3 linked regions of the Bombyx mori genome follow. The protein of the gene in region 2 purifies or fractionates together with the protein of the main gene of each other region. This does not show direct contact. Links are inferred from orthologs where the notes say so. Each region holds a gene or a part of one and is shown on either strand. Other genes may lie near its edges. The genes, in order: ADP-ribosylation factor 6, kinesin-like protein KIF23 and Ywhae.

The links.
Region 1: the proteins of kinesin-like protein KIF23 (region 2) and ADP-ribosylation factor 6 purify together in Homo sapiens (affinity purification with western blotting; 3 studies listed by BioGRID and IntAct, with this or other methods). This does not show direct contact. The link is inferred for Bombyx mori from reciprocal best matches to the Homo sapiens genes KIF23 and ARF6.
Region 3: the proteins of kinesin-like protein KIF23 (region 2) and Ywhae purify together in Homo sapiens (affinity purification with mass spectrometry; 4 studies listed by BioGRID and IntAct, with this or other methods). This does not show direct contact. The link is inferred for Bombyx mori from reciprocal best matches to the Homo sapiens genes KIF23 and YWHAE.

What each region holds. Positions count from the first base shown.
Region 1 is NC_085111.1:14,748,193-14,758,954, forward strand, and holds the start of ADP-ribosylation factor 6, read right to left. Parts: upstream 6,893-10,762; 5' UTR 6,735-6,892; intron 3,933-6,734; exon of another isoform or gene 3,606-3,932; intron 2,370-3,605; exon of another isoform or gene 2,297-2,369; intron 1-2,296. Other genes in the region: leucine-rich PPR motif-containing protein, mitochondrial, read left to right, coding at 8,022-8,137, 8,216-8,554, 8,795-8,951, 9,441-9,550, 10,520-10,751. UniProt on the Homo sapiens protein: GTP-binding protein involved in protein trafficking that regulates endocytic recycling and cytoskeleton remodeling. GTP-bound form plays an important role in the transport of multiple palmitoylated proteins form the Golgi to the plasma membrane.
Region 2 is NC_085129.1:18,296,451-18,307,168, reverse strand, and holds kinesin-like protein KIF23, read left to right. Parts: upstream 1-5,566; 5' UTR 5,567-5,839; coding exon 5,840-8,446; 3' UTR 8,447-9,727; downstream 9,728-10,718. Other genes in the region: serine/threonine-protein kinase BRSK2, read right to left, coding at 249-402, 1,407-1,471, 2,361-2,495, 3,552-3,650, 3,982-4,098.
Region 3 is NC_085122.1:14,127,001-14,137,970, reverse strand, and holds the start of Ywhae (14-3-3 epsilon protein), read right to left. Parts: upstream 5,337-10,970; 5' UTR 5,226-5,336; coding exon 5,162-5,225; intron 1,869-5,161; coding exon 1,705-1,868; intron 1-1,704. Other genes in the region: PHD finger protein 12, read left to right, coding at 9,936-9,983, 10,134-10,318. UniProt on the Homo sapiens protein: Adapter protein implicated in the regulation of a large spectrum of both general and specialized signaling pathways. Binds to a large number of partners, usually by recognition of a phosphoserine or phosphothreonine motif.

The sequences.
Region 1 (10,762 bases), on a different chromosome or scaffold from region 2:
AGGGTTATATTTGGTATGACGCTCTCGCGTATATCATACACAAGAAAATACGGTCGTACATCTAATAAGACTAAGGAAGTTTAATCGAAGCCTGACAGGCTGCCAATCGAAAGATGCGGGATTGCGTCCGAAACCGCATCAAGATGATGCCACTTCCCTATCATTCATTGATGAAAATGGTATTCGCAATTATCTCCGTGTCCAACTACCTCATTTCTACAATAATAATATAATAACTCTGCGCGTGTGAGTAACATAATCCAGCCTGTTTCTGCCACGCGGTAATGTTGCTCTCTGATTAAGAGTCATCAATATCTTATACCTTTAAACGAGCAATTCTTGTATATATATTAATATATAATATATAATTTGAATCTCGGAAAGGGCTCCAACGATTTCCATAAAATTTAGTATACAGGGGATTTCGGCGCGATAAATCGATCTAGCTACGATTTATTTTTAGAAAATGTTGTTTTATTCGTGTTTTCAATAATCAACTCTTCCCGACATCTATTGGCGAATAATAATACTATTTTTCTTAATTGAGGGCAACTAACCGCTTTAAAGACACAACAAGATGGCGTTATCAAAAAAAAAAACGAGCTTTGCTCGGTCATCGTCTAGTACACTTATAAAACACTAGCGACCCGCCCTCGCTTCGCTTCGGAAACATTAAAACACACATGAAACCAAAAAAAAAAATAAAAAAAAATTAAAAAAAAGTAGTCTATGTTCATCAGGGACAATGTCGGCTTCTAATGGAAAAAGAATTTTTCAAATCGGTCCAGTAGTTTCGGAGCCTATTCGAAACAAACAAACAAACAAATCTTTCCTCTTTATAATATTATTATATATTATAGTATAGAGTATAGATTAGAGACATTGACAAAATATTGAAAGATGACTAATCATGTATTAATTAGCCTACTTAATTCAATTTAAGGAAAAAGTAGAGTTATTTAAAATTACTAATAAACTAAATATCCATCCAATTTATTTAAAAGATAAATACGTTTTCAAAAGTCAAAGTTCAAGAGAGTTCGCTTCACACAATGAGTTAATTCGTTAAAGTTAACATTGTATTCTCACATTTAACTAGGATCAACAACATTATATTATATTATTATAATAATAATAATAATTATCTTGTGAACAGACCGATTTCCATTTTACAAACTTCAAAACCTTGTAGTTTAAGGGCCAAACAAAAAACGGTTACAAGACAATACAATCCGAATTGTTTTAAGGTATCGCATATGTACTGAATTTTAGGCAACTTTTCTATAGAAAAATCTATATCTTGTCTTTATTGGTGTATTCACCATTTCTTTTTTTTTTGGGAACGTTAGTGGACGCGAAAAGGTACACTAACAATTAATAGAATGTAGAGTATCATTTCTTTGCATATTTTGGACAAATATGTACACTGTCGTGGATCACCTCAGAATACCTTTAAAATTTTATTAAATAATTTAAAGGATTTGCCTAGTGATTACGAAACCATCAAAATGTCTAACATTTTCGATCGATTGATTTACACGTATGCGTTATAATATTAATATATAGCACGCACAGGATCACGGATCTTCCGTCAATTACGAGTATATTATGCAGTTTCTGCAAAAGAAGTTTCTAGTACATAGACGCGTCTGAATAACTATGTAATTAGTAAAAACAGGCAATAAAGGCCACATGAGGCCTTGATAACAAAAACTAAATGACTGCCGAGGTTACGCGTAATCTAATCTATGCGACGTGTTCAACATCCTAAAACTAAAATAGAAACCGAAAAAGTAAGAGCAAATTTTCACAATCAACGATAGATTTACTAAAATCTAACAAAGTAACGAAAAATACGTCTGATGGTCACTGGGAAAGTAGAAGGAAAACGTCCTAGAGGCCGGAGCCCCAAACGTTGTTCCGACCAGATCTCCGAGCAAACCAGCGGACCACTTAGCGCTGCACTACACCAGGCAACTGACCGGAACCGATGGAGGCTGACAGTAGACAAGCTAAAACGGAGTCACGATCCTCAGCAATGAGGGAGCGATGGAGAAGAAGAACGGAAAATAACGCATTTAAACATTAATTTGACATATTTTTTCTGTAATTCAATCTAGATTTCAATGCATATATTCAGCGGGATCGCTTCTTTTTGGGCGTAGGGATTTTTCTTTTTTTAAATAAAGTTGAAATATAGATTTAAAAAAAAAACTGGTGCCTAACTAGTGGTACCCAATTTCTTTTTTTTTTTTTTTTTTTTTATTGCCTTTGTAGGCAGACGGGAAAAAGGATGCGCCCAACGTGGGGCTCGAACCCACGACCCTGAGATTAAGAGTCTCATGCTCTACCGACTGAGCTAGCCGGGCTTAAATATCACGCGTCTAAGAGTAAGCCCCACAATGTATCTACTATGATCAATGCTACTATGTATCTAGTGAAACGGCAGCGTTAGAATCGCTGGCATGTAAAACGCGCTAATGCTTTTAGGCACACGACTTTCACAGTGAAGGATTAACGTGAAAATATAATAAAATAAGTTAACGTAATTATAAAATTGCGTAGTAACCAGTATCTTGAAGATGTTTGTCATTATGACGTCTATTAAGACCGGTAGTCATTTAAACGAGAGTTAATCTCCGAGAACTTATTACGAACTCAAAGCGCCTAAGGTGAGATCATGGTTTTTGTAAGCTATTCAAAATACAGTAGGGTCAATGCAAATGTATTTTTACCTACTATTTTGATATTTTATTTGTTATTTATTGTTTGCAAAATCGTAATAAGCCTACTTCTACTAATCCTAATAAGATTTAGATCTTACCTAAGTTAGTTACAGAAATGTTAAACTGTATATTCTGGTACAATTGGTATTAAATATTACCCGCAGTCAATTTGTTTTTATGGAAATAAGGTAACGAATATTCTGAATATACTGGTTCGAGTCACGATCTATTGTGTCAATGACTCTTGGCGCCTATTACGTTACCTTTCGATATTTTTCAAAGAAATTCACGGACACTTTGATTATCAAGCCATTTGATTAATATTATGGTTTCATACATATGACGTTTGGCACACTGATATTTAACAAATTAGCTTCTTTAGGAAAAAAAATCGATTGTCGAACGAAAATTTGAAAAAAAGTTTTTAGAATTACTATACCGGTTGTTTTCGCAACAATCTAATTGCGAATAATCTAACTATAACAATACAATGAAATGTAGTAAAAATTCAACTTTAACCTTTTTGCTTCAGTACCTACGGTTATTTATCGAACAACTCGACCTTTTGAATATACAATTACACGATAATAACGTAAATTCTATACCAGCGAATGTATTTTAGATCTTCAAAGAAATTTCACTCGAAAACGTATTATTAAATCTTAACGAAATAAAATCATTTCCTTTTACGAGAAGAATATAATAAGCTCCATCATAAAAAAGATCCTTCAAGGCAAGCATTTATTTATTCTTTGTATATAAGTATTATGAAAATAATGAGCAGCCCGGCGGCATGTTATCCTCAGTGTCGTTTTCAACTTCAATAAAATAAGGTGTGTTCTTAGAATAAACAGCTTCCTGTATTGCGAATGAACTTACATCGTGAATTAACAATGGGTGTACCTACCACCCACTTTGAGAACACCTCACTGTTTAATGACATATTTTCATTGATTCACATGGGCCTTGCTTTACGGAACTGGAAATTTTTGTTACACTATCACAATTACGTATAATTTTATTCTTTTTTTTTTTTTGTGAGCCCACTTTGCACTATAAACGTACAGAGCTGTACATGGTCTTCGTAAAAAAATGTTTCGGTGGTCCCCTAACCAAATCGCACGTTGAAATGTGAATGTAGTCAGATTGCGCGAGAGCACGCGAGGTTTCCGCCCGTGACGTACGCCCACCGCAACCGAACTGACCAAGTTATAAGCGATGAATTAAACAAAAAAAACACGTCATCGATTTGTATACGATTTGTAAGTTTAATACGTATTGAATGCAGGTATGGGTAATGAAAATAAAACTTCATCAACATTTTTCAATGATTTGTGAAAATACCTTTTTTTTTTCGAATACATATTAAAGATCATCCATATTATTTGGATGATACTATTTAATTTGGTAAATGATAGAAAGTTTTTACATTATATAAGCACGTGTTTCCATTAGCCAAACTTTTGAAATCCCTTGCATTATTTACAGTGAAATGACAAATGTAAACGAAACTCGTTTAACCTTGAGTAATAACCGCGAAAAATGTACATTATAACCTCAAAACTATAAACAAGTTCGTTCTTTGTTGACAGTCATCAGAACTGAGGCAAAATTAATTTTAATAAATCTTTTAACTTGTAACTTGTAAAATTAGCAAATCGGTTGCCATACGCCGTCGCGTTCATACCGTCGCGCATGACAAACAATGTTTTCTGCGTGCTCGCACGTACTTATTATAATACATTCATAGACAGAATGCAGTAGTTTTCGAACATAATATTGATTTAAATAAAAATATGATCCAAAAAGATTTCAAACCCATCCTAGCTTTTTTTTAATTATATGATGTATGGGAAATGTATGATGAAATACTTGAGTACATAATATACTTTTTACTATTATGAACACTTAGCAGCGTTTGTTGCACTAAAACATTTCAAATACTGACATCCAACCATAAAAATAAGATCAAAGATAATTGAATAATATCTATTTTAGCCTATAATATGAATTAGTGTGAAACAAATGAGTATTTTGTCTTTTGTTTCCTTGTCAGAATAACTTCCTTATCTCAAGCTTATTTATTACTTGTTTAGTGCTAGAACTTTCATTTAGAGGGATAAACATTGACGGTGTAGCCATAACTAATTCACACAGATTGAGTGAATGTCTGCTAACCGTTCTTTATTTAATTTCAGTAAGTGCAAAAGTGCTCGCTCAATTAAAACATCAAAGCACAGCTAAAACATAATGAACGGAAATGTAGCATCCAAGTTACAGTGTCAAATAGGAGAAAATAATACATACATTACTTATTATTAAGATTGCAGTTTTATATAAATCAACAGATTAAATTATATTATAATGTGCACAACTGTAGTATTCTTGTTTTTTTTAAAGTTAGTATTTAAATTTATCCTGTATTAACATACTAATAGGTGTAATATTATTGTTGTTTCATAATCTGTAACCCGCAAACATAAAATAAAATACAAAAATTAAAGCTTCAGAAAATTCTGATGTCTTCTATTCAATAGTAATGTGAACTTGGCTCTCTAATTGGTGTCAATTCACACTTCATTGACCTCAACTATTGATATTGAAGAATTGAACTCAATAAATGTGAGCATGAAATGTAAAATGTTTTCTTGTTTTGGCTTTAATGGTGTTTTAATAGCAAACTTTCATAACATTTTATTTTATATATATTTAAAGGGTTGTTTTAATTAAATTTTACAATATATATAATGAAGGGCATAACCTGTGAAATCACAAAGAACATGATAAAGTTCAACATTTTCTTTTAATGATTACGTAACTATTTTAATGAGAACCTAAAAAATACTATATTCTATATTATTGTGTTAACAATAAATAAACAATCATGATATAGAAAGTCTATATTAATTGAAGACTTAAATTTATTGTAACTGTTTGAGTAAGATTAGAATTCAGGAACTATGAAATAAATATACTTTTTGAATAAATTTTGGGAGGCAAACTTTCATTTAAGTTTATAATTTCATGTTGCTTACAAAGTGCTTGATCTTTCAACAGACAGATTTTATGTAATTAATCAATTGGAGTGTCTGTTTGTAATATTGAAATAACCGCTTTTTACTACATGCATATGAATATATATATACGGTACATATACCAAAATAGCATTTGTTACAATTTTTGTCTGTCTGTCTGTTGGTTTGTTCTGGCTAATCTCTGGAACGGCTGGATTGATTTTGACGGGACTTTCACTGACAGGTAGCTGATGATATAAGGAGTAACTTAGGCTACTTTTTTTAGACTAGCTTTGACCCGCGGCGTCACCCGCGGTACGACAATAACCGCGGGTAACATCGCGGGACTCAGCTATCAATAATAAAATTTAATGTTTCCGAAGCGAAGCGAGGGCGGGTCGCTAGTAGTAAATAGGTTTCTTGAGTAACATAAGTATTTGTATGTACATAGGACTCTTATTCATTTTCTACAACTTTGACCACCTATATTTAATCAGTGATTTTATATTCAACAATGTAGGTAGTCCGTTAATTCGGGGGTAATCATATTGATATTTTATATTAGGTACCTAGAAATTTAGGGTACCTATGTAATAATTTTTTTTATATTTTAAGCTCATTCAAATTTTTCAATTACACCAACGGTGTGATTCATAGGCGGGAAGTCGACAACGTAAAGTACAACTTTACTTTGTAAACTGGTTACCGCAGGGCTAAATTCTTTAAGGGTTAGGTCATCAGGTGATCACAAACTGGATCATTGTATTTGAGCGTATGTAACATGTAATAATTAAATTAAAAATTAGAATCGACTTCTAATCGTCACGTTTCGTTGAGGTGGAGCCGATCGCCGACTTGCCAAGCTTGGGCGATGGCGCTACCCGTCAAATAACGGCAACTTGATGACAATTGTGCAAATACTAACCAAACACGCATATCTCTTACGAAAAATATGTATTTATTTTAAAGTTGTACAAATAGGAGACAAACTTACCACATGACAATCGCAAATTACAATGTCTAACATCCACTCAAAACAGTCAAAACAAAAAACACAGCACAAACCACATCCACGATTCGTACACTAGAATTGAAATTTGACAATGCTGAACGTTGACATTTCTTCAGAGTTGCTAGATTGAGTTTGAGAAGGGCTACCCTCAAAATAGATTTTGGTATCAATTGAAAGAGCACCGGGGCAAAATAAAGTATACATGTCTTGTAACCATTAATTAAAACTCCACTACATACCATAATCTAAATTAATTTGCGATTACTTTTGTTATTTTTCAACTATTTTTATTTACTTTATTTATTTATTTATGTACACACAAAAGAGAAGACATAGTAGAGAGTAATAGGAAAATTATGTACAAACTATGTATATCTGAGCGAATTCGTGTTGGCAAAAAGATTCTTGACAAAAAAAAACAAAGACAGAAAGAGACTTCTTATCTAACCATTTAGTTCTTACGAAAAAGAACAATAATTGTGGAAAAATGAAATGCATTCGATGAATTTTTTTTTGAAATTGAGGTTAAGACGAAATTATTTATACTCTCATTTAAACTGTGGGAGCATCGGATAGTTATATGAACATTTTGGAACCCACGTCGACCCCAAAATGTAATTTCGTCTTAAACAGAATTAGTGAGTGAGTTTACAGTTTTTACAGTATCCTAAAAAAAATAATTTATTAAATATAGGGGGGAAATAAAGAGAGACAATCTCTTTAGACAATATAAACAAATATCTTCTCATTCTATTCAATTTATTTTCACTTCTTTTTGTTTTCATCCAGACTGCGTTTATGCTATATTCTGTGAAAGTGCAAAATTGTGGGAAAATGAAACAAAGCCACTATTCATAGCTTTTCGGGATCCTTCAAAAAGTCCACTGAAAAAGTCTCAGTAAATAACCACCATTTTACTGAGATTATATTTCATCCCATACATATCATCTCATCTCACTTCTTTTAATTATTTCATGAATTAATCAAAAAAATTTTTACCTATTCTAGTAACCTCGAGAGGTTATTCTAAATTCGCCGAGCTTGTAGGTGAGTTATCCGGCAGTATGGTGTGATATCTTTGCCTTTTCATTTAGAAAATTAGAAATACTACAAAAATTTGACATTTGATTTATTGTGACATTTTATACAACTAAATTTTCAATCGTTGAATAAAAATTCTACCAGTGCAGGTACCATAAGTTTTCTAAATTTTGTAAATTTGTAAATTCTGGGATAAAATTCAGTTGCAGTACTTAGAACAAGAATAATATGATGTGGACTCGTCAAGGAATTAGGATTATGAACTCCAATAGAGCTAAGTTCTTTAAAAATATTCAAACGAATCGGGCAAATATTGGATGTCCGTGTCGATCCCATGCACAAAGGTTAGAATTTAATTTCTAAAATTACAAATTAAAACCAAGTAAACTACGCAACGAGAACTAATTGCTTAATCTTTATAGGCGCATCTCAAATGCAGCAATCAATAAATGTTCTGTGAACCTATCAAGCGGTCGCGGAAATATTTCACAAACAGTCTCTACTGAATTTCTGAAGAATACTGATAGAATGTCATCTGAAGAACTTTTAGAGAAATTAATAGCTGGATTATCCACGGATATACATCAGAAAAATAGAGTATACAAGAATGATTTAATGAGAGTTATAAACAGAGTAAAAGAAATGAATTTTTCAACCAAAAAACAGGGTTTGCTACTGCTTAGGTGCTGCACGGAATTACTACCTGACGAAACTCCTTCAGCTCGAATGGCTTTAGTTGAATTAGTTTGGAATACTTTAAAGTGAGCCTATGATATTACCTGTATGTTAACATTAAAATTCAAACAATGTTTTAAAACAATTGACTCATTTTAAAATAATAATTCTCAAATTGATTAATTTGTAGTAGTAAATAGAATGATTTTTATAGAATGCTGTTATTGTATAGAGGCAAATTATTGACCTCTTCTTCAAATGAAATTTTCTGATTATTGCCATATAAAACCTGAATTTAATTATTTTTTCTTATTGGAACTACACAGGCCCCATACGAAATTTCAAGTGGATCATTACAATGAGTTGTTGCAAGCTTATATAGCAAATAATAGAACAATCGTAGTGACTACATTTATCAACAAAATGCTGCCTGTAAAACCTAACATCACTACTTATGAGTTGATCATAAGAGCCCTAGGGGAGGTAATAATTTTAATTTGATAAAAGTCATAAATTCTCTTTGGATCGATTAGCAGGGATTTTTATTATTTTATTATAAATTTATTATTATTATTATTATTATTTGTGAGCTTTATGTTTCTAACAGAAAGCAGTATAAGTTAGTTCATTGACATGATAGTTCAGTCAGTGTCTGGGTTGGGTTAGATAGTGCTGTATTGAAAGCAAACCATTTATGCTACAATTAGTATATGTATTTTGATAAAGATCAATATTTATGTGTTCTTGTACTGTTGATCTAACTTTGTGTGAGCAGATTTACTAGCATATCTATATTTTTAAATGCACATAACTATGTATAGGGGATTCTGGCTCTCTTAATGCAGGGAATCCTAGTTTCAACCTAGACAATTTTGTGTGATGTATTTATCGTTGATTACTTATTTCTTGGTGCCTTAATAATATGATACATAAATGCTGAATTTGTTTTATAAATAAATTAAATAATTCCAGGCGGGTGATCTAAATCAAGCAACCGAAGTATTGTCTAATATGAAAGCACAGAACTTGCCTGCTACCGAGAATATATTCAATTCACTGATTATAGGCCAAGGAAAAGCAGGGTAAGTTTGGTTTGAAGTATACTGATTTTGTCTGTAGGCTAGTGGCACACTTGGTTCTAATGTACCGATGTTGAAATTGAAAATTTTTTTGCAGCTTCTAGCATGATAAAACAAACTGTAGCGTATTAGAGAGGGTACTTGTCCTTTTAATAAAAATATTGCTAAGTGCGGATTGTATAAAGACAGACAAAAAGTGAAATGATATGTTACCCATCATGTATTAGTTCATAATAAAAGTTCATAATAAAATAATAGAACATAGTACATATATTATGTTTGAATAACAGTAACATAACATACAATAAAAAAAATATAACTATTACAATTAAATGTGAACATACTGCTTAACAAGAATACAGAGTCTGTCTTGGTCTCCCTGTGATGTATTTTTAGTTCACTGAGGTGATAATCTTTCAAGCTTTGTTTGTACAATTAAATTGAAAGCTTTATCTAATGAATTCAGGGCCCGGGTATCAAATTATTATTACTAGTGTTTTTGTCCAGTGGTAAAAATGATCAAGATTTATATTTATTATGTGTCATTTTACTTTCAAATTTTCTTTTTTGCATTGTTTAAAAGTGAAAAAACCAAATAATATTTTTTTAAAAATAAATTGATTGACAAAGAAGACTTCTTCTTTACTTAATTAAACTGTTTTGTCTTTTCTACTTAAATTGAAACTATTGTTTTAAATGTATATTAAACATTATTTAAATGTATATATTGTGACTAGCCTATTATGAAAATTGTTTTACTGGTCTAGATAGGCAGACAAGCGTGGAGCCTATCTAATTTTAAGAATTGGTAGAGCTCATAGAAATCACAACTAGTGTCCTGGAACTTAACTTGAGACATAAGGTTTAAATCTAAATTATATTGTGTAATATTAACAGCTTCTACAGTTAAGCACTTTGAATAAAAATATAATACATTTTTATTTTCCCATAATAAAGAAATATAATTTACAGTAATCTTCAAAACATTCAAGAAGTATTGACAATGATGAAATCCGTTAAACTGAAACAATCAATCGAAACATACACTGCTGTTGCTCGTGCATTAGCCTGGAATAAAGAGGATGGTCCGCTCCTGAAGGAAATGGATCAGACAATAAAAAATGGGTTTCAGTTTGAGGAAAGGCATATTATGGAGATTGTGAAGACCCTAGCTGTTGTTGGAAGCTATAAAACAATACCTCAGGTATAATATTT
Region 2 (10,718 bases):
ACCGGAGTATTGCTAACACTGGCCCTAGCAAGAGCAGTGCTTCTCAGAATCTACGCCCGGATCGAAAACGCGACCCACTGAGAAGATCCGGCGAGAAACTCAGTGGGCTGTATCTGTGGGTTAATTTACTCGTCGAGCCCTTCGTCGCAAGCGACGGGTTCGACGAGGACGGTGACCGGATTAGTATCCTTGATGGTTTTCGTGTCAGTGTCTGGGAATGGATTGTGTGTGCGTGCGGCGTTACTGACCCGACAGGTGTCGAGCCGTTTCCGTGGGGGGTCGGGGGCGGCAGCGGTGGCGGGGGGCGCGGCGGGGGGCGGAGGCCGAGCCTCGTCCTCGCGCGCCGGACGCCTGCGCTTCCGCTCCAGCAGCAAAAAGTATATCACCTTCTCCGTGTTGTGACTGAACGAACGAAAAGAGATTGGAGTGAATTGCATTTCAGCTAATAAGCCGAAGAATTACTAATGGCTTTTGAGTGTTGTCTCCTTCTAGTTCGAGTCTTGAATATCTGCGATAGTTGTGGACGCAGTGTCCACTGCACACGGCCTCATTAAGAGCCTTCTCATCATAAGAGCATTTGCGTTGTACCCATGAGTTCCAGTCAACATGAAGGTTTTAAAGAAATACTTCTTACGAGGGGGGATATTACTTTATTTAGTTAAAAACTATGACTATGTGGCGGTAACCTTTATAGAACATATAAGACATTTGAGAGACGCTTGAGCCTTGCTGACGGAATTTTCAATACGGATTCGGAGCGTCGGTCGTTGGTGGATGATCTTCCCTTCAAACCCTAAAACTGGTGGCCTGAGAAGTAACAGCCGTTACCTGGTCTGTTTCGGCTTACAATCGACCCAATCAGAGACTTAATTATCTTGCTGGAAAGCATTAAATTTCGGATCGCGTCTATGGTTAGTCTATGGTCTTATGGGCTACGTCCACATAAACACTTACACACAACTAGTACGCATTTACATACACCACATTACATTTTATTCCGACACAAATTTCAGCCATGTCGATGCGCACCAGTCGACTACATTGGACACACGCACCCAAAACCGGTTGGCTGTGACGTCGGGCCGATACGTCGTCGTCCGCGCACAGCACCGCGCTGACTTCAGTCAGAGCTTACCCGCATCGACTAACGCCCGCTTACGTTTCGCTCCGATAAAATTGTGTGTATACCGCCTACGAGACATTTGCAAGACAAGTCTTCGGATATACAAGTTCCGATTATCAACATTTTGACCGTCGGTCTACCGAGCAAATATCAACGGCTCGGTGGAAGATCATCCCCTCGTTGTTAAACATCTCCAAAGTCTACTTAGAGATTGACTCTAAAGACCCAATGTCGGTTAAAGTTCAGAAAAAAAAGATTGTCTAAAAAATGTGGGATAACTCACTGCGGACTTAACAGTTCTTGCACCAGCTTCTCTCTTTGCTTGAAACAACCTAAGCTGCACATTGCCTGTGGACAATAAATCGAATTGTATTGATGTATATTCAAAATTATTCGATCATCAAATAACTGAAGCAAAAACCTTGTATCCCTTTTTACGAAAATTGCGCGGATGGAGGAGTATGAAATTTTCCACACTTATAGAGAATATAGAGAAGAAGTGCACAATGCTAATATTTTTCTAAAATAATGCATAAAAGATACATTAAATTAATAAAGAAAACATTACACACACTACCATGTATTTGACACAACACATATACATATATAAATTTAATCTTTGTTTATTGTCAATTGTCAAACTTTTGTTAATGTTTTAAGTATGTGGTCAAATTGAGAATAGATGAATATTGTTTGTCTTTATTATTATTTATGTATAGTATAGTTTTGGCGAAATCGGTGATTATATAATATTATATAAGTTTAATGTTTAGTATTTGACAATAGAACCATAAAAATATTTAAACATAAAATTTAAATTGATTAAAGTCGAATTTCGACTACTGCGGAACCACTAGTTTACATTTACTACTAGTTTATAGCGTAGCGAAGCTTGGTGTTTATTGATGATTTTAATGCTCATATCGAGGGCCGAAAAGCGATTTGGTTTTTTTTATTGCTTAGATGGGTGGACGAGCTCACAGCGCACCTGGTGTTAAGTGGTTGCTGGAGCCCATATACATCTACAACGTGCGCCACCCACCTTGAGATGTAAGTTCTAATATCTCAGTATAGTTACAACGGTTGCCCCTCCCTTCAAACCGAAACGCATTACTGCTTCACGGTAGAAATGGGCGATGTGGTAGTACCTACCCATGCGTACTCACAAGAGGTCCTACCATCAGTTCTGTGCTGATTAATAAAGTCATATCTAAGTAATGCGGATGAACTATGTTACCTGTAAAACATCAGGATCAACAGCATCAGCTGAAGGCAGTACTCTAGTTTGAACAACTTCCATCATTGGCAACTCTTGTTCGAGTTCTCCTCGTCCGCCGGCAGTTACCCATGGATGTCTCGTTATCTCTGCCAACTGGAAATGTTGTGAAGACAATTTCAGTCCTATCATCCACCCATATCATAATGTATGTCTTCAGGTTTAACGAGTTTACAGCTTAATGTTGTACGGCTACCAGTAATGATCGATATCATAATGTGAATGCCAGTGTCAATGTTTTAGTACAGTAAGAGCTCCTTATTCACGCTTCCTTCATTCAGGGTTTTCACTATTCGCGGATTCCTGTGTTCGCGGCTAAAGATTTCTGCATTCGCGAATCAAATCAGTACATTGGTACATGCGTATTGGTAATAATGATTCCAATATGTAGGTATCCAACGTGCTTTTCCATATTCACGGTTTCAGTATTCGCAGCATATTTACAGAATATATAACCATTTTTTTATTATTTTTTTATTTACCCTGCGAATAAAGAGCTTTTACTGTACTTTATTTAGTGAATTATGAACTTGTTGTGAATTGTTGTGTTGTTATGAATTATGAACTTCACATGTTTGGTCACCACTGTGTCGGTTCATTGTCTTTTTTATACAACACACACTGTACCGGCTTGTGGTACATAAGGGAGTTTCTTGTGATAATAAAACTCCAGCACTTGATATTATTCTGATATATTTTAATGGAGATGTACAGCATGCTTGAAGAGCGGGTAGTGAATGAACGAATGATAGTGAAATACATTAACTTATTAAGCTGTGATACTTAGCGGCCTAGAAGGCTAGCATCTTTGACATTGCTCTAAAATAATTGAAGGCACTGGCCTGAACACACACTTAGCACTATTTTTTATTAAAAGGAGAACATGTATTCTCTACTAATGCACTACACAAAGTTAATACATAGGGTTGAAGATTGAATTACTTTGGTATGACAGCCACTAAGTTGAATATGTCAATGATATCCTCATAACAACATAGCCATATATAATATTTTTATATAAATCAACTGGTGGTTAGCATAATATTAATAACGTTAATGAATAGCACCTTGGTCATCTGTGACCATGTAACACTAAACTATTTAGATAGTTCTCAATTGTAAAATGAGATAAAGCATAAAAAAACAACTTACAGTCATTCTCTTCTCCGGATTCACTTCTATCATTCCACGCAGTAGTTGTTGGCAGTCAGGTGGTACAAAGTGCGGCACGTGAAACACTCCTCGTTTCACCTTGAATCAAATAAGGATGTATATTAAATTATACCATAGATTTTCATACATAACTATTTATTTGTTAGTTAAGAAAATTATTCTTTTTTTTCATATAAAATTTCAATTCCAATGCTTCGGGTCAGTTGATTAAATTTAAACTTGTTATTCTATTGATTTTGTACTAATGATGTTAACTTTGTTATATTTTGCATTTCCTTGGAAAATTATTTTCACCTTTACCTAACATGCTATAACAGATCTGCAATTCTTTAACTGGATTCGTGTTACCGGTGTAAGTACTCTTTAATTACGTGGAATCGTTCGCCGATTCATACCGAGAACCCTTTACCTTTTCAAGTAATTGACGTAAATTATCATCGTCAAAAGGCAGCGCACCGACGAGAAGTGCGTACAAGATGACACCGCACGACCAGACGTCCGCCCTCCGACCATCGTATTTCTCACCCTGAAATGAATTTCATCCATTTCGTGAGCAACAGTTTTCATTTCTAAACGATGCATTGTTTGTTTACATACATTTTCATAATTTGTTTTGTTTACGAACTTTGACAGCGGAAACGTTCCATTCTCTGTTATAATAAACTTCAAACTGGGCAGTTTTTTATTAATTAATTTGGAATTGATTTAGAAGTACACTTAAAGAAAGTTTTTTTAAGTTCCAACATATTGTTAAAAAAATAATGATGTAAGTGTTGTAGGCAATAATTCTATAATAGCAATGCTTATGAACGGATTGATTTAATATTACGTAGAACGAAAATATTTTTATTCCTATAATTATGTTGGCAGAACTGCCAATCATGGTGACCACTCAAGAATAATATGAAAAGTCCCTGAAATTTGGGAATTCTCAAAATAAAGTAAAAAAAAAACTGCAAAACAGAATAAGGGTGAGTGTTCCGTTAAATGTGGGAAAGTAGTGAAGCAATACAACTGCAGATAGATAGAGTAGCAATACGGTTATTAAAAATAATGTGTTAGCGGCAAACACACAGGCGTGTATATACTTAGCTTTTAATATTGACATAGTGTAAAGGATAAAGTACTCAATGTATTCACATCGAGCTATCTTACTATGTCAGTGTACAAATCTTAGAGACGGGTACCGATTTTTTAAGCGAAATACGTACTCAGCTCATGCCTACGAATGGATTTCACGTTGAAGGAAAACATTATGCAATAAAAATTAAGCCTGCAACAGTAATAATTTACAGAATTTCTGGTATTAGGATCTCTCGTAACCCAGAGTGGTTACACCCAACAACCAGCATATTTCTGACACGTAGAAGTAATGCGTTTCGGTTTTATTGGTTAGCTGCTTTATATCGCAATCGAGACCTAGATCGAACATTTCAAGGTCAGTGGCCATATTTACATTTTGATATTTATGGTTTCCCTCCAGTAAATCTTTACTAGCTGGGCTCTAAGCTCATTCAATCGTCTATGCAAAATAAAACGACGTTTTAGTTCAAATAAATCTAGCAGACCAGGCCTAGTGAAACTGGTTCACATGTTCACATCCTTAGAGAAAAATTCAACTGCAGACTTTTTGTTCGAGTTTGAATATGTAAGTAATGGCAGACAACACTTGTCACATGTGAAGTAACAGTTTTCGAATGTTGGAATGCTTATTTAAATATTTAAAACAGATGATTGTCTTCTCTTCAGTCATGACGAAGACTTATGTCTAGACACGGACAGTGCAACATCTTAGGGCTTTATAAAAATAAAATACATATTGCAATGGGGTAATACTGTACAAAATGTTTGTAATATATTTAACCATGAAGCAGTGTTTTTAAATAGCCCCTCACCTACAAAACCCAAACCCCTCAAATTTAACCGTCCAACACTTTTCCATTTATCTAAGTTGCTTCAGGAAAAATCAATCTATTAGCTGGTATCATTAGTAACAAAAATGTCAAAACTTTAAAAAGAAACGGGTAGATATAATCCGACCGAACTCAAATGGTATTTCCGCTAAACGACCTTGGTATCCTTTCGTATAATTTTTACTGCCATTATTAAAAAGTGACAGCAAATAAGTTGATTTTAAATTAGTCAGTTAATATTGATATTTCATGAACGGCCGTTCAGAGACCGTTGCTTTGATTTATTGAAAGTCGTTGAAGCGATATTCAACCGAAATATTTAAATATTATATGTGACGATAAAATATAACAAAAATGAAGTCCGTTAAATCGAAACAGAGATTAAACGAGATGCGAACGCCGGCGCGTAGTAAACAAAATCTCGCTCAGGACCGCGATCCTGTACAAGTCTACTGTAGACTTCGCCCCATGCAAAGAGAAAGTGATGTGTCGTGTATGAAGATTATATCACCAACCACATTACTCCTAACGCCGCCAGCAACGGCGTTAAGCTACAGAAATGAAGGCAGCAAAACCATGAAATACACATTCAAAGAGATTTTCCCGCCGGAAGCGTCACAGCAAGAAGTTTTCGATAAAGTCTCACTGCCGTTAGTCGAAGGCTTGATTAAAGGTAAAAACGGCTTGTTATTCACCTACGGGGTCACGGGCAGCGGGAAAACGTTCACGATGACCGGCGAGCCCCAGAACTGCGGGATATTACCACGATGTTTGAATATTATTTTCAAAACTATTAACGATTTCCAAGCTCACAAATATGTGTTCAAACCGGACAAAATGAACATGTTCGATATTCAAAACGAAGCGGAGGCCATGCTAGAGAGGCAACAGGAACTTCACAAATTTAAAACTGGGAAGAAAAATAATTCGAATCCGGATTTAGCTATGGCATCCACGGATATAACTAAAGTAGAAGGTATCAATGAAGACAATCAGTACGCTGTGTTCGTTACATATGTAGAAATCTACAATAACAGTGTTTTTGACTTGTTAGAAGATGGTCCTCCGATTAGTAGGAACCTTCCAGTGAAGATAATAAGAGAAGATGCAGCCCATAATATGTATGTCCACGGGGTTACTGAAATCGAGATTAAGTCAGCTGAGGATGCCTTTGATGCTTTCTATTTAGGTTTGAAACGGAAACGAATGGCTCACACGACTCTGAACGCAGAATCAAGCCGAAGTCACTCAGTGTTCACAATACGATTAGTGCAGGCACCAGTTGACGAGATGGGAGAAGCTGTGATACAAAATAAAAAGTTCTTGAATATTAGTCAACTGAGTCTTGTTGATTTAGCTGGTAGCGAAAGAACTAACCGAACCAAAAACACAGGACAAAGACTAAGAGAAGCCGGGAATATTAATAAGTCATTGATGACTCTTAGAACCTGCTTAGAAGCGTTGAGAGAAAATCAAATTAACAGTGCTAATAACATGGTGCCCTATAGAGAGTCTAAAATTACTCATCTCTTCAAAAATTTCTTTGAAGGTGAAGGACAAGTAAGGATGATAGTCTGTGCAAATCCAAGAGCTGAAGATTATGATGAAACCCTCCAAGTGATGAGATTTGCTGAGATGGCAGCAGAAGTTGAAGTTGCTAAACCCCAAGTAATAGATGTCGCAACAACAATAGGTTTGATGTCTGGCCGCAGAAAGGCTAATAGACTCTTCACAACAGCTCGTGACAATATGGCGAGACCGGAGGCTAAAGATTTGGACTTAGATCTAGGTTTGGTATACAGCCTCGGGCCAGACTTCCCAAGCTTGGAACTGAATAGCTCTCAAGCTGCCCATATAATTAAGGAACTGATGGCACATTTAGAAATGAGAATCAGTCGCAGAGAAACACTTAAGAGAAGTAAGGCGGTGAAGGATGAAAGACTGAGGTCAGCCCTGTTGGATCTTGAAAAAGAATCATTAGAAGTGAGAAGTGAAAACTCATCATTGAGGGGACAGCTGGCAGCCTCTGAACGCAGGATTCGAGCTTTAGAAGAACGCTTGACAGCCACAGAAAATGCATCTCTCACGCACCAAAGAAAATTGGCAGAAATGACTGAATACACATCATCTTTAAAGAGAGATCTACAGGAAAAAGAATATTTGCTCAACCAGAATAAGTTTGAGAAAGAAAAGCAGAAAAAGATCCTTGAAAGAAAATACAACCACAAGATTGCCGCCGAACAGGAGAAGGCAAAAGAGATAAACACAGAAAAGGAAAGATTAAGAAATGCAGTTGAGGAAAAAGAAAACTGTTTACGTAAAGTCAAAGAAGCGTTAAATGTTGATATGGCAGACAGAGGAGACAACTTTGATTATCCACGCTCCACAACTGAAATTGGTGCTCAGACCAGTCATTTTACACCGGGCTCCACACCGAGAGCTCTACCCGCACACCTCTTGACCCCATTCAGTTCAGCTCCACAATCACGCGACACACCAACATCAAGAAGAGGGGTCGCTGTAGCGAATCCACGCCATAGACGGTCATTGTCAGCTGATGGTCGAGGCTGGGTGGAACACGCACCTAACAAGCTAGTCCCAATGGGCACAGTCATGAAGCCAAGCATGACGAATAGCAAAATCGTTAATAAACTGACAACGGTCAAAGACATTGCCAATTCGAAAACGTCAAAATACTGTCTTATATCGCAAGAGCAAGATACTGATGGTGAATTGGAGACGAAACTGTACAAAGGTGATGTTGTACCCACCTGCGGGGGAGGAGCTCAAGTTATATTCAATGATGTTGAAATGCTAAAACAGTTTTCTCCGACAAGGGAATCGCAGAGATTGTCCAGCAATAGCTGTGCTAGACATTCCGGCAAGAGGAGAGACACCGCTTCTTCACCACCACAAACACCATCAAACACCAGTAAGAAGCAGAGAGTTGATGACGAATGATCTTGGACGTGATCAGGTAAAGTGAAATAAGTGGAAGAATATAAATATGTTTTTGTGGTGCATAGAACTTGTTCGATTTCTTAATATAATTATTAAATTGAGGTTTGGTAGGAATTTTCATTCAAAATCATTGAATATGTAAAAAAGTTAAACTACCTACATTCCTGATTATTATCATGATTGTAATTCTAGTAGAATCTAGAACTTGTGACTTTCAAATTATCTTTTTTATGCTTTCTATTTTCAACTGACTTAAAAGTGGCCAGTGACAGATTCAGTGAATTTTTTTCTTTTCCAAGACATTCTCAATGTTATTTTTGAACATATATACTTAAAATACATTCTGTGATTGTATATTTGCTCATAAAATGTACCATTATATTGTAATACTTACTAACATAATTATTTGATAGCTTATGACATTCCTTGATGTTAGGGTTTTAGTAACATTAAAGCTGTTTACCGTCGTGTTGGCACTGATGGTAGGTCTTTCACTTAATCCCAGGATTCTGAACCAAGACAGATCGAGATGTCACTAAGACATATTTTGCCAATAAAACTTTGAATATTATTACAAAATCATTAACCTTACTTAAAACTTTATTTGCTATACAAATGGTAAACACTGAAATATAAATAATTATGAAATTTCGAAAAGGGCACATATCTGAAAATGTAAAATGTTCAGGAAATGAAAAAAAAATTATTATTTTCTAAAGCAGTGTAAAATTTAAAGTATTAACTTTTGAGATATATTTTAGTGTTAATTAGCAATTGAAAATTACTGGAATTATTATAAAATGGGTGTAGGTAAGCCTCAAAACTACATGTTTATGAAAAAACGTATTTCACAAAATATGGGACATGTGCCCTTTTCGAAATTGCATATTGAAATACAATGTTACGGTTAATTAATATTTCATAAGTCGGTATAATTCGAAGGTAGTTGTCCCACGCCCGTCCCCTCGAGGTCATTAACCTGGCCCGTCAGCTGATGCTTTTGACACGAAGGCAATCCGAAAAATCAAATTTCGTTATAAAATAGACCTTTCTGGTTTGGGTTTGGGTTTTTGTGGGCGTTTTTCATACTGTCTTGGTGACCTGTTTTTTTGTATTACCAGGATGTTCGTAACTTTAGGACCGGTTCGCCCAATGTATTAAATGGCGTACATTCATCTCGTTATGTTAATAGCAACAGTACTTAAACTACTCATATACTTAGATCTGCTAGTTAATATCAATTTATATATTAAAATAGAAATAAATGCGTTTGTTTTTGTATATTTGCCTTTTATTGCATAACAGGGAAGTGTGTTCTTTTAAAATGTACTATATATTTTTTTGTCACTAGTTTTGTAAAATTAATTTGCATAAAATTTCTGATCAAAATTAATCTGCATAAAATTTCGGGGCAACGCAAAGCCGCCGTCGTCCGAAATATGTCTTGTCGGATCCCCCGGATTCACTGTCGGTGCTTTTAGGACCCTCAAGCACTGGTCACCGTCCTCGTCGATCACGACGAAGACTTCGATGAGCGAACTAACCCATAGACACAGTCCACTGAGTTTCTCGCCGGATCTTCTCAGTGGGTCGCGATTCCGATCCGGTGGTAGATTCTGCGAAGCACTGCTCTTGCTAGGGCCAGTGTTAGCAACACTCCCGGATTAAGTTTAATTGACTCGTCGAGCCCTTCGTCGCAAGACGGGTTCCGCGAGGACGGTGATCGGTGCTTGAGGTAGGTACCTAAAAGCACTGGTAATGGATCGGGAAGATCCGTAATGACGTGTTTTGGGCGACGTCAACTGTTTACCATTCGGTGTACAGGATCGGGTATGTAATTTCCGGCGGCCACGACAAGAGGGTTTTCGTGCCGTGCCGCCTACTCAAAGTATTATTTCATTAAGACACGACTGTGAACATTAATATTTCCAAAACAGTATAAGTACATACGATTGTAGATAAATAAAGAACCTTAGCGCCAAATATCTGCAGTTTTTTAGTTTACTCGTTATTGAATTTAGCAAGGGCTCTGTATTTATATTAATTTTAAGGTTTTCGGGGGTTTTTTGTTATACGTCCCGGTCACCGTTCTCGTCGAACCCGTCGCTTGCGACGAAGGGCTCGACGAGTAAATTAACTACCAGACACAGCCCACTGAGTTTCTCGCCGGATCTTCTCAGTGGGTCGCGTTTCCGATCCGGTGGTAGATTCTGCGAAGCACGGCTCTTGCTAGGGTTCGTGTTAGCAACGACGTCAGGTTTGAGCCCCGTGA
Region 3 (10,970 bases), on a different chromosome or scaffold from region 2:
ATAAATAAGCTTATTTTTTAGAATATCGAAGTAATTTGTAACATTTTTGAAGTTATGTTAACTGCGGAATTTTGTTAAAGAAATAAATTAATGATTTAACTAATCTTTTCGTCGTTAAGAACAAATTACAAAGCTCGCTGTCGTTAGATAATAAGAGTGCCTGAGCTCGGTGCGGGTTCGATAATTTTATAAGGTCAGACGGTCGGATATATTTAAATATGTAATAGAAATTCACAAAAAAACAAGCCAGCGACTTGCATTACACTTGTCGATAAGATTCAAATTGCGTTTATGAAGTTAACATTTAGTTGGCTAACTCTCGATTAGCTTGGAAACAACCAGGAGCCCCGACGGCGCTGCGGATCAATAACTGAAGCGGCGCGTACAGACGCGGTACAGACGTCGGCTGGCGATGTCAGGTTTAAATTGATTCACCGCAAATTGTGAAAAGGCTAATTTAACAAAAGTATTAATTCTAAAAAAAATGTTTGTCGAAAGGTACATTACAAATCGGAAAAAAACAACACTTATTTTATTTCTTCACTACATTTAAATGCGACGTGTTTTTTAGTGTGTTACTTTCTCGCAGCAATGGAGCAGCGTTTAAATAACAAATTCTGTACTTTTGCCTAGTATTAAAGAAGAAAGCATGATCAACTCATTGCTAGCTACAATAACACACAGATCAATGAATACAGAGTAAAGCAAATTAGCTGCTGAGATAAGCTATTAATTTTATCATTTCCCATTATTAGTCATTTTACTTAAAAATGTTTTTTAAGTGAAACTTCTTTAGGCGCGTTGAGAATAAAATTAAACTCGCGACAGATTCGTTGCGACTAGAGAGAAAACATATAATTTAGGAAGAGCGAGAGTGAGAAACAAGACAGCGTCTCGCGAACAGCTCGACCGTGGAGAGGAAGGGAACGAGTCGGCTCGTTTCCCTTATACACATTTTGTTTACGGGCGTCCGCCACTAGATGGCTTGTTATTAGTTTCTCACTGCTCTTGTAAATACTATCTTATTTTTAAAGAAGGATTTGAAAAAATAGTAATATTTTTCTATATATAATATATATAAATGGTGAAAAGATATACACAGCATTACCTATTACAAGAGAAATTTCATTTAACGATGAAAAATGAAGAAAACCGAAATACTAAACACCGCAAAAGAAGTCTCACTTCTTTCACGTGCACCAAGTTGCACGCGCACCGTTTTCTCCAAACATAAACAGTTGAATCAATCAAAAAGTAGTTTGATACTACATATGTATTGGGGAAGCGATCTCTCATTTTCCAACATTCAATTATATAATGTAAACATGTTCAACAATGACATTTGGTTAAGGGGCTACCACTAAATGATCAACATTGCTGTACTCAGATTTCTCTCAATTTATAATGAATCTATAGCTAAGACAGGTAAAATTCAGGAGTTCTCTGTATCATGAAACACTAAAAACATACACGCAGAACATATGTAAACTTTTATCATGAATCAATCTCATGATAAAAGTTATGAGGCCCTCTAGATGCATTAGATTAACAAAACAAGTCTGGATACCAAAATATGAGGTTTTTCTTCTAAACTCTCAATGCTTGGGTGATACTAAAACACAATCATCCAATTTATTTATCCGGGCTAAGCTCTGATTATGACAAGTTACATCAGCAGACAAGTAAGTGTTACACGAGACTCACTTTTGTTTCTTCCTTCTGTTCGATGGAGGAGATGATCCGCCAGGAGGCGCGGCGGGCGCCGATCACGTTCTTGTAGGCGACCGACAGCAGGTTCCTCTCCTCCACTGTCAGCTCATTGTCGGACACGTTGCGTGATGCTACATTCTTCATCGCCTCCACCATTTCTGAAAAATAGGATATATTATTCGTTTTAGTACATTTCTACCATATCTGGTACTTTACTGATGATAGGACCTCTTGTGAGTCCGCACGGGTAGGTACCATCACCCTGTCTATTTCTGCCGTGAAGCAGTAATGCATTTCGGTTTGAAGGGTGGGGCAGCCGTTGTAACTATACTTGAGACCTTAGAACTTACATCTCAAGGTGGGTGGCGCATTTACGTCGTAGATGTCTATGGACTTCAGTAACCACTTAGCACCAGGTGGGCTGTGAGCTCGCCATATTTATAGATATTTATTTTTCTTTTTATTATTGTTATTTAGGAGATTGGGCAGATATTTGCTCAACATTTCGACTTTTGATAATCTAGTATTTTCCTCAAACTTCAACTCATCATCTCAAAACAATGTCCATACTGTGGCGGGTATACAAGTTGGATTGATAAGGGACAAAAGGGCTTTGCCGCTAAGAGCTATGACCCTTCCGATGGGGACCTTGGCAACAGTAACCCTTTATCATCAGGTGGCAGCTCTTTTGTGTTCGTTACATAGCCTATAGGCATCTTGGTCTGAGCCATCAGACCAATCAACATAAGATTTTTTCCTCCCTAAAGCATCATCAAAGTATGCTAAATGTCTCTGAATGTATAATATTCATTTTAATTACATTAATTCTTCTAATGCAGTTGGAACTGAGTCTATTCTACATTTTAAGGTGTTTAGATTATTAAGGAAAATAAACATATCATTGTTTTGTTTACAATTATATAGGATACTTAAGAACAATCATAAAGATGGGAAATAAATTAGACAAATCAACTCATTTGCTCAGTAAGCACTGTTTAATACAAATATAATATTTCTAAAGAGGTTTGAATTGAATTTGTCAGTCAAGTTAATGAATGTGATGTAATGGTAATTTGAAAAGACAGTGTAAGGGGATAACACTTTCTTAAAATTCCAATTTATTTATCTTATTGTTACCCATGCAGAAAGTTATATGTTAAAAAAGTTCATCTGCATTGCATTTGTTGCAATGCAATTTTAATCTCCCAGAAATAGTTGGTTCCTCTGCATGTTTGTTGGTTAACACAATTATTAACCAGAGCATGTGTGTGATGTGTTCTTCAAGTGTTTGTTGCATGAGTCAATAATTATGTACGACCCAAAAAATCTAAAAAGTGCAGTAGGACATGAAAGTTACATACTAAACTACTGAAAAATCACCTCAAAATAGAAGGCCATCCTATCCTGTCGTGTTCAAGAAAAAACTTGATTTATAACACAACTACACACATTGTTTTCTTGCACTACTTTCTACCAACGTATATAGCCATGTAGTTTATTAGAATTTATTATTTTAAAAACTCCTAATTAAAAATAATGTTGTAATGTTTTACTGGTGGTAGGACTTCTTGTGAGTTTACACGGGTAGGTACCACCACCCTGCCTATATTTATGCCGTGAAGCAGTCATGCGTTTCGGTTTGAAGGGTGGGGCAGCCGTTGTAACTATACCTTACTACCTACTATACCTTAGAACTCATATTTCAAGGTGAGTGGCGGTATTTACGTTGTAGATGTCTATGGGCTTTAGTAAACACTTAACACCAGGTGGGCTGTGAGCTTGTACACCCATCTAAGTAATAAATAAATAAAAGTTGAATTAAAAATAAATATGAGAATTATACTATTGGTTTAACCACGTCTATCTTCTATCTTTCAGCCCACAGACACCAACTGCTGGACATAGACCTCCCCCAAGCCTCACCAAAATGATGCAGATAGTGCAGGACCAATCGTGGTGAGGCTTGTTTTAACTACAATCTACAATTTTTAGACACTGCTTCCAATGTAGCACTATTAAATATTAGCCAATGATTACAGTCAGCAGTCACATGTGATGAGTACGAACTGATACAACATCCTCTAATTTACAACCTCATTCAGTGTACACTACAAAAATTATTTTCAACATAGATATTTCAAATTTTTTGAAAGTTTATTTTATTAATATTAGTCATAGCATCATGCGGCAAGTTCCAATGAAGTCATACTTTTAATATGTGTGACTAACATAATGAGACTTTCTAATTTATAAATCCATTTAAGTTTGACATTCACTTGCAAATTAGCACAATTATATTTAAAATTAAATTACAATAAATTTCATATGAAATAAAGACACTTGCAAAATATTGGCTGAAGGTCAAGCCATAAAAGGGTGTGGTCAACTTTAGTCCCACTGACAATACTTTTAGTGGTTCATAAAAATAATCAATAATGTACTGATTGCAGACCAACCTGTTACAATTTTCTCTATGTCACACTATGTATGTAGAGCAATATTCAATACTTAGAACCCATGATGAAATGGATAAGGATGGCCTAGGGCTTCTTTTTTAAAAATTAGAATTGAATGTCATATCTAATACCACCCATGTTTTTTGCAGATGAAAGATAGATGAAGATGAAAAATCTTTATGCACTCAATAAAATGAAGTGTAACAGTTGTGTAACAAGTCATTCATATTTCATCCATGTTGTGCATTGATAAGATTGACAATGATATTCTTCAATGATAATGGTAACTAAGGTCATTGAACCGTGGACCTTCACAGACTTTCAATTATTACTCCCGAGTTTTTCATGAGGAAGATGACAGAAAACTATGATAATACTTTAACAGAAAGCGATATAGTTAGACGAAATCGTTGTAAAACCCTAAGGAGACAGTTCCCGTGGCATCAAATTGTGAACAATAGGTGAAATCTAAGGCGCCATAAAACTACGTCATAACTAAGATGTTTCTAATGTGTCTGGATCACAATAGCAGACATACAAGAAAACCAGTGGCGCATCGATCCAGATCCTCTGACACCCGGTCAACGGTACTACAAATTCTTGAAAATCACTTTTATTGGAAACTTTCAGTCATAAAGTTGCGATTCTACAACTGAAAAAACTATCGTAACTGAACCATGAAGGTTCTATTTCAGGTTGAGAATGGATTCAGCGTTTTTGTTCATGTAAAAAACCTAAGACATCCCACCGGTGGATGACGCATCGATCGCAGGCCAAGCCTAATGAATACCATTGACTCGTTTTTCTATTATCAAATATACAAACTGCGACCTACAAGGCTATTTGCAATAGAAAATTGAAATAAATGAAATGATAATTACGTCTTGGACATAGGATATTCTCTAAAGAATCTTAAAATCGTTTTTCAATTGTCGGCGAAAATAAGATAGAATCTTCGACTGAATGATAGCATTACAGTAAAAATATATGCTTACCGTCATAGCGCTCAGCCTGCTCAGCTAACTTTGCTTTATACACATTATCTTCCCTTTCCGACATTGTGGATGACAAATGATTTTACACTAACTAAATCCGAATCGCCAGGTCACTTATTCACCAAGATGGCCGCGCCCGCCAACCGAATCCAAATTCGATCTTCAACTAAACTCCGCCCATGACGTCATAGACTAGGCAGCTTCCGTTCTACATTTGCTGCCAGATAAAAAGTAATTTAACTACTGATTTAACTGAAATGAAAAAATTAAGGAAGGTTAAATTACATTTTTATTACTACTATTCTACTTTGACCAATATAAAATAAAGTTATTCTAATAAGCTTAGATTCATGAAAGTTCAGGCAAAAAAACAAATAAAAACTGTAATTTAAAAAAAAAAAGTGTGTGTGTCCGCTCCGACGCACGACTGGAGTTTACTGGATATAAAAAATTAAACGAAACAATACGAGAAATAGTTCTATATTACGACAACACGATACACTACAGATTATTAACAAATTAACGAGACACAAAACAAACGACTAACAAATATATGAAAATACAATAATGAGAGAAACGCGCGATCAGTATAGTAACCGGCAAACATCGTGAGCAAATGACCTTGACTGCGCAGAACCGAATTTTAGATCACTTTGGTGGTGAGGGTGAGGCGCGACGGCAGGGGAAATCGTATCGAGCGCGTTATTGGTAGATCAGTCGAACCTTGCGTCCCGCACCGCGCCTTCGTTCCGCTTGCTCCCAAAAGTACGCTTGCGTACAGTGAAAAGTCTATCGTTATTAATCGTTAATAAATTTTGTTATAATTGCTTGTTGACTTTGTTGCCATTGCTATTTGTTGAGTATTTGTTGATTTTTTATAAAAAATACACTATGCCGCGACAAACTTGTGTAGTATTCAAAAGAAAGGGCAGAAAAATTGTGTACGACGTATATTGCTTCATTATAAAACAGGGGAAGAATGATATTATGAAAAAGTAAAACAGACTTCGGAAGCAACAAAAACATCAGTGAGTACTGTTAGGTGCATTATTAACAAAGAAAGCTAAAGGCTCTGGCTTGCTCGTCGTGCTTGGGACTCCGGGTAAGAAAAGATCAGGGAAGAAGAAAGTTACCGGAATGGATAGTTTCGTTCAATCTGTAATAAAAAGATGTAATCATAATAACTACATAACAAGCAGCGAAACTCCGTACCGTAGAAAGGCTTCGAAAATTTTAAAGAAGATATACATTTTAATAGCTCGGAATGAAGTTTACGACGAATTATGAAAGAGCTAGGCTTCAGATGGAAAAAAAAAACAGAAAATAATCGGAAGCTGGTAATTGAAAAAAGTAACATTCGATTACTACGAATCGAATATCTTCAAAAAATAATAAATTATAGACAAAAAAGAAGATCGAACCGACCGAGTCGTAAACTACACCGATGAGCCCTATGTCCACTTATCACGATGATGGCGACTCCAGTGATGAAAACAGTGATGATGATAATGGTCAAGATTATGATAACGAAAAAAAAATTACAAATACCAGCTTCGCTTCAACTGAACGAAGACCTGGCAACAGCTCTAGTTTTGACTTAGTAGAAGGAATATCTATTTTACCCCAAGATTAAATTATTACAATTATTAACCTATATTTTTTGTTGATGTTCTAATAAATATATAAATAAATACATATGTTGATTTTAATAATTTAATTGCATTATGACGCAGAGTAAATAATGTTTTTGCACGTGAGTGTACCATGCGCAAACTTACCCCCACTACGTCAACAAATGCTCAAGAAGTTTGCCGGCTATTATACGAGGCTTTGTGGCGGACTGCCGGCGCAGCAGCCCGGCGTCACCTGCGATAACGCGGCCGCGCGTTGGCTCCTGATTGGCGCGCGCACGCATCACGCAATCAGGAGCCAATCAGGCGCATAACGCATTTCGTGTGACATGCTAGTACGATTTTGGTCCCCATAATTTTCATACCCCGGGCCTATATATGTAAATCGATTCTAAAGGAGTAAACTCCAAAAAAAAAATTATGCAGACGAGCATATGGCCCACCTTATGATGAGTGGTTACTGTCGCCCAGGGACTTCAGCAACGCCAAACCGCTGCCTACCGAAAAAAAATTGACTGAACTAGCTATACATAACTCTTGAAATAAAAAAATTTTTGGAGTTTACTCCTTTAGAATCGATTTACATATATAGGCCCGGGGTATGAAAATTATGGGGACCAAAATCGTACTAGCATGTCACACGAAATGCGTTATGCGCCTGATTGCGCATGTCACACGAAATGCGTTATCGCAGGTGACGCCGGGCTGCTGCGCCGGCAGTCCGCCACAAAGCCTCGTACTGATCGCGCGTTTCTCTCATTATTGTATTTTCATATATTTGTTAGTCGTTTGTTTTGTGTCTCGTTAATTTGTTAATAATCTGTAGTGTATCGTGTTGTCGTAATATAGAACTATTTCTCGTATTGTTTCGTTTAATTTTTTATATCCAGTAAACTCCAGTCGTGCGTCGGAGCGGACACACACACTTTTTTTTTCATCATCTCAGCCGCTGTCCACTGCTAAACATAGGCCTTTCCAATTGATCTCCATTGCAACTGGTCCGTTGCCACCTGTAATTTATGTTCCTTCTATTAAATAAGGTCAACTTTTTTCTCTAATTAACGTGTTGTTAGACTCAGCTTTTAAATTACCAAATTAGAAAATTAATCTTTTTATAGGCCGGTAATACTTAAATTTCCGTTTTCCGTGATCTCACTCTATCAAAATGTCAAATGTCAAGCGTAGATTTTTTTAAGGGATTTTATGACCTGGTATCTGAGACCTTTAAGTCATGTCTTACCTTAATTTATATTCATATTCTTATGAAAAATGATATTATGGAGTGAAATGAAATGAAGATGATTAATTTGAGACATCAATCAACTGGGATGAAATTAAATGAGATGATACGGGATGAAGTACAATCTCAGTAAAATGGTGGTCATTTACTAAGATTTTTTCAGTGGACTTTTTGGAGGATCCCGAGAAGTTACGTCCAGCGGCTTTATTTCATTTTCCCACATTTGTGCACTATTACAGATATTAAACAGTTAATAAACCACCATTATTACACATTTAAACCCGAAGAAACACGAAATAGACAAAATAAAACAAATCACACAACTTCACTCCTCGCGTTCCCGCCAAAAAGTCCTCAAGCGTAGATCAAAGAAAAACCCTCAGAGTAGTATTGAGTGAAATAGGTACATTATAGAACGGCTCAATGAATTTAGCCCCCTTTTTTTGATTTTCAGATTTTTTTATTTTTAATTATTTGTTCGTCGTTTGTTCGTTAATGTTCGATTGAAATCACTGAGATTTCTATGTGCTTGTTCATATTCAATACCATTGAAAATAACTGAATTTATTAAAATCGCGCTAATCGTACTTTAACGACTAATTGGTCGTCTTCACTGGCACTTTTTTGTTGAAGTTTGTTGAAGTTTTCAATTTATTTTTTAGATCTACATAAGGAATAATTAGACAGTATAAACGCACTTGTTAAAAAAACGCTAGTAAATTGCCAGCTGACTGACAAAACCGGCGCATGCGCAATGTAGGCGTGAGGTGATGGCTTGCTTATTAGATATAAAATAATTGATAATTGGGAATTTAATTGTTTTTATGATCTAACAATCACCAATAAATGTTGAACAAACGATAATTGATCAAAATGAATTAATCTAAGCAATAAAAATAAAGATATCTAGTAAAGGGAGCCCACTTAAGGGTGATCATTTGTTTAATTAATTATAAATGAATAAAAGACGATCAAACAATTTTTATACTCGAACATTAACGAACAAACGACGGACAAATAATTAAAAATAAAAAAATCCGAAAATAAAAAGGGGTCCAAATTCACTGAGCCGGGAAACAGTCTCATAAAATAATATTATGTATGGGAGAAGCTTGAAAAAGTGTCCCACTTTCAGCACTAAATAACAGCTCAAAAATCCTCCAGAATGGCGCTAGCATAAGCACAGGGGAATGATATGAATTGAGCAGTTGTTAAGTGATTGAATTACTAGAGTAATTAATGACAGTGTAATATACAATACCTTACAGGTTTACATAATCCAAATTAATTTCGTCAATAAAACCTAAAAATTATTGCTGTGATAAAACGTGGAGACATCGATTGCATTTTCTTATCAGCTTTAAATAATATACTTTTTGTGATTTTGTAGTGCTGACAGTTTTTTCGTCCTTTTTTATTACTCTATTTTATTCTAATAACTTTCAGCCCCTTTTTTTAAATTTACCCGGTTGCTATTGTAGCGCCACCCTTATTTAGCAGATTTTAACGGACAGTTTTTCACACACAGACGGTTCTACCCTCCATAACTCCATATCATCTACATACGCTACCCATAGATTTGTTGATTGATAATTGTTATAGTTGATAAAAGCCAACGTAACTTATAGGTTATGTATGTACTCGAATCGATTTAAATTTTTTATTAACTGAGAGTACCTGAAAACTATCTCCTTCGTCTTAAAGATCTTAAGTTACCAAGAGCCATATAAACTATTTCAATACCAAATTCTGTTGACAACTTCACAATATTTGAGTTTGTGTCGGAATCGAAATCATTCAAGATTTTGGTGTAATTTCACTAAAGCCTTAGGTACATTGTTTTATTTGTATTCGAGTTTTGTGATTCCTGTGTAGTTTCCTTAGAAGGTTTTTGATTGAAAAAATGTCTAATGTTAGCTATGATATGGATACATCGGGAGGTCTTATGCCGGTAAGTTGAATTTAACAACGAATTCCACCAATAAATAGTATAACGCCCAGCAATTTTTGATCTACGGCGCCATTTTATATGGATGTTGCTGCATTTGTTTCTATTTTAAAATAAATAGCGATGTTTTTAATAATGTTGTTAATGTTTTAGTTAATAAAGGCCCTAATTAAGCCTCCGGATGAGGATTTGAACGTCCCGAAGCCTAAGAAGCCTCAGCATCCATATTACAAGAGGCCTGGAAAGGGTCATAACCACGATTCGTGCGACGCTTGCGGTGAAGGCGGAGATCTTATCTGTTGCGACCGATGTCCAGCAAGCTTCCATCTTGGTTGCTAGTATGTGATTAAATCTCATCTTACACTTATAGTAGTTGGACAAAAGGCCTCCTGGGACTGCGACCCATTAGGAAATGTTTTGTAGTATTAATGGTAATGAAGGTGTGGATATAGGTGTAATGGTGTATAGGTGTGTAATAACTAAGTGCTTTAGTGTCTATTATATCAAAGGTGCCAAAAGTACTGACTAGGTAGTAGGTGCCTACTAGATTAGCATGGCAGGAGCTTTTCTGATTGAAACAAAAGTTACATATCGATGCTTGAAAGGCAAACATGACTAAGCGACAATGTGTGAACTGTACAGTAGACTAATTTAAAGTTGAAATACCTGAAAACAAAATTTATTTTAACGAATCCAGCTGTAGTAGAATCTAGCTAGTAGCTGTAGGATTGAAGTGATTTTAATAGACCTAGAAATATATTTTTTTTGCGCATCGAATATGTTTATTGCCTATCATTTATGTACAAATCAGTTATTGTTGCTTAGTCACTTTTGCCTTTCAAGCGTCGATATGTTTTTCTTTGTAGGAGCTCTAGCTCATAAATATCTCAAATCAAGTTGTTGTTGTTATGGCCTAAAGGATAAAGCATCCGGTGCATTTGTATCAAGTAATGCAATGATGTTCAGATCCTGTAGGCAGGTATTGATTTA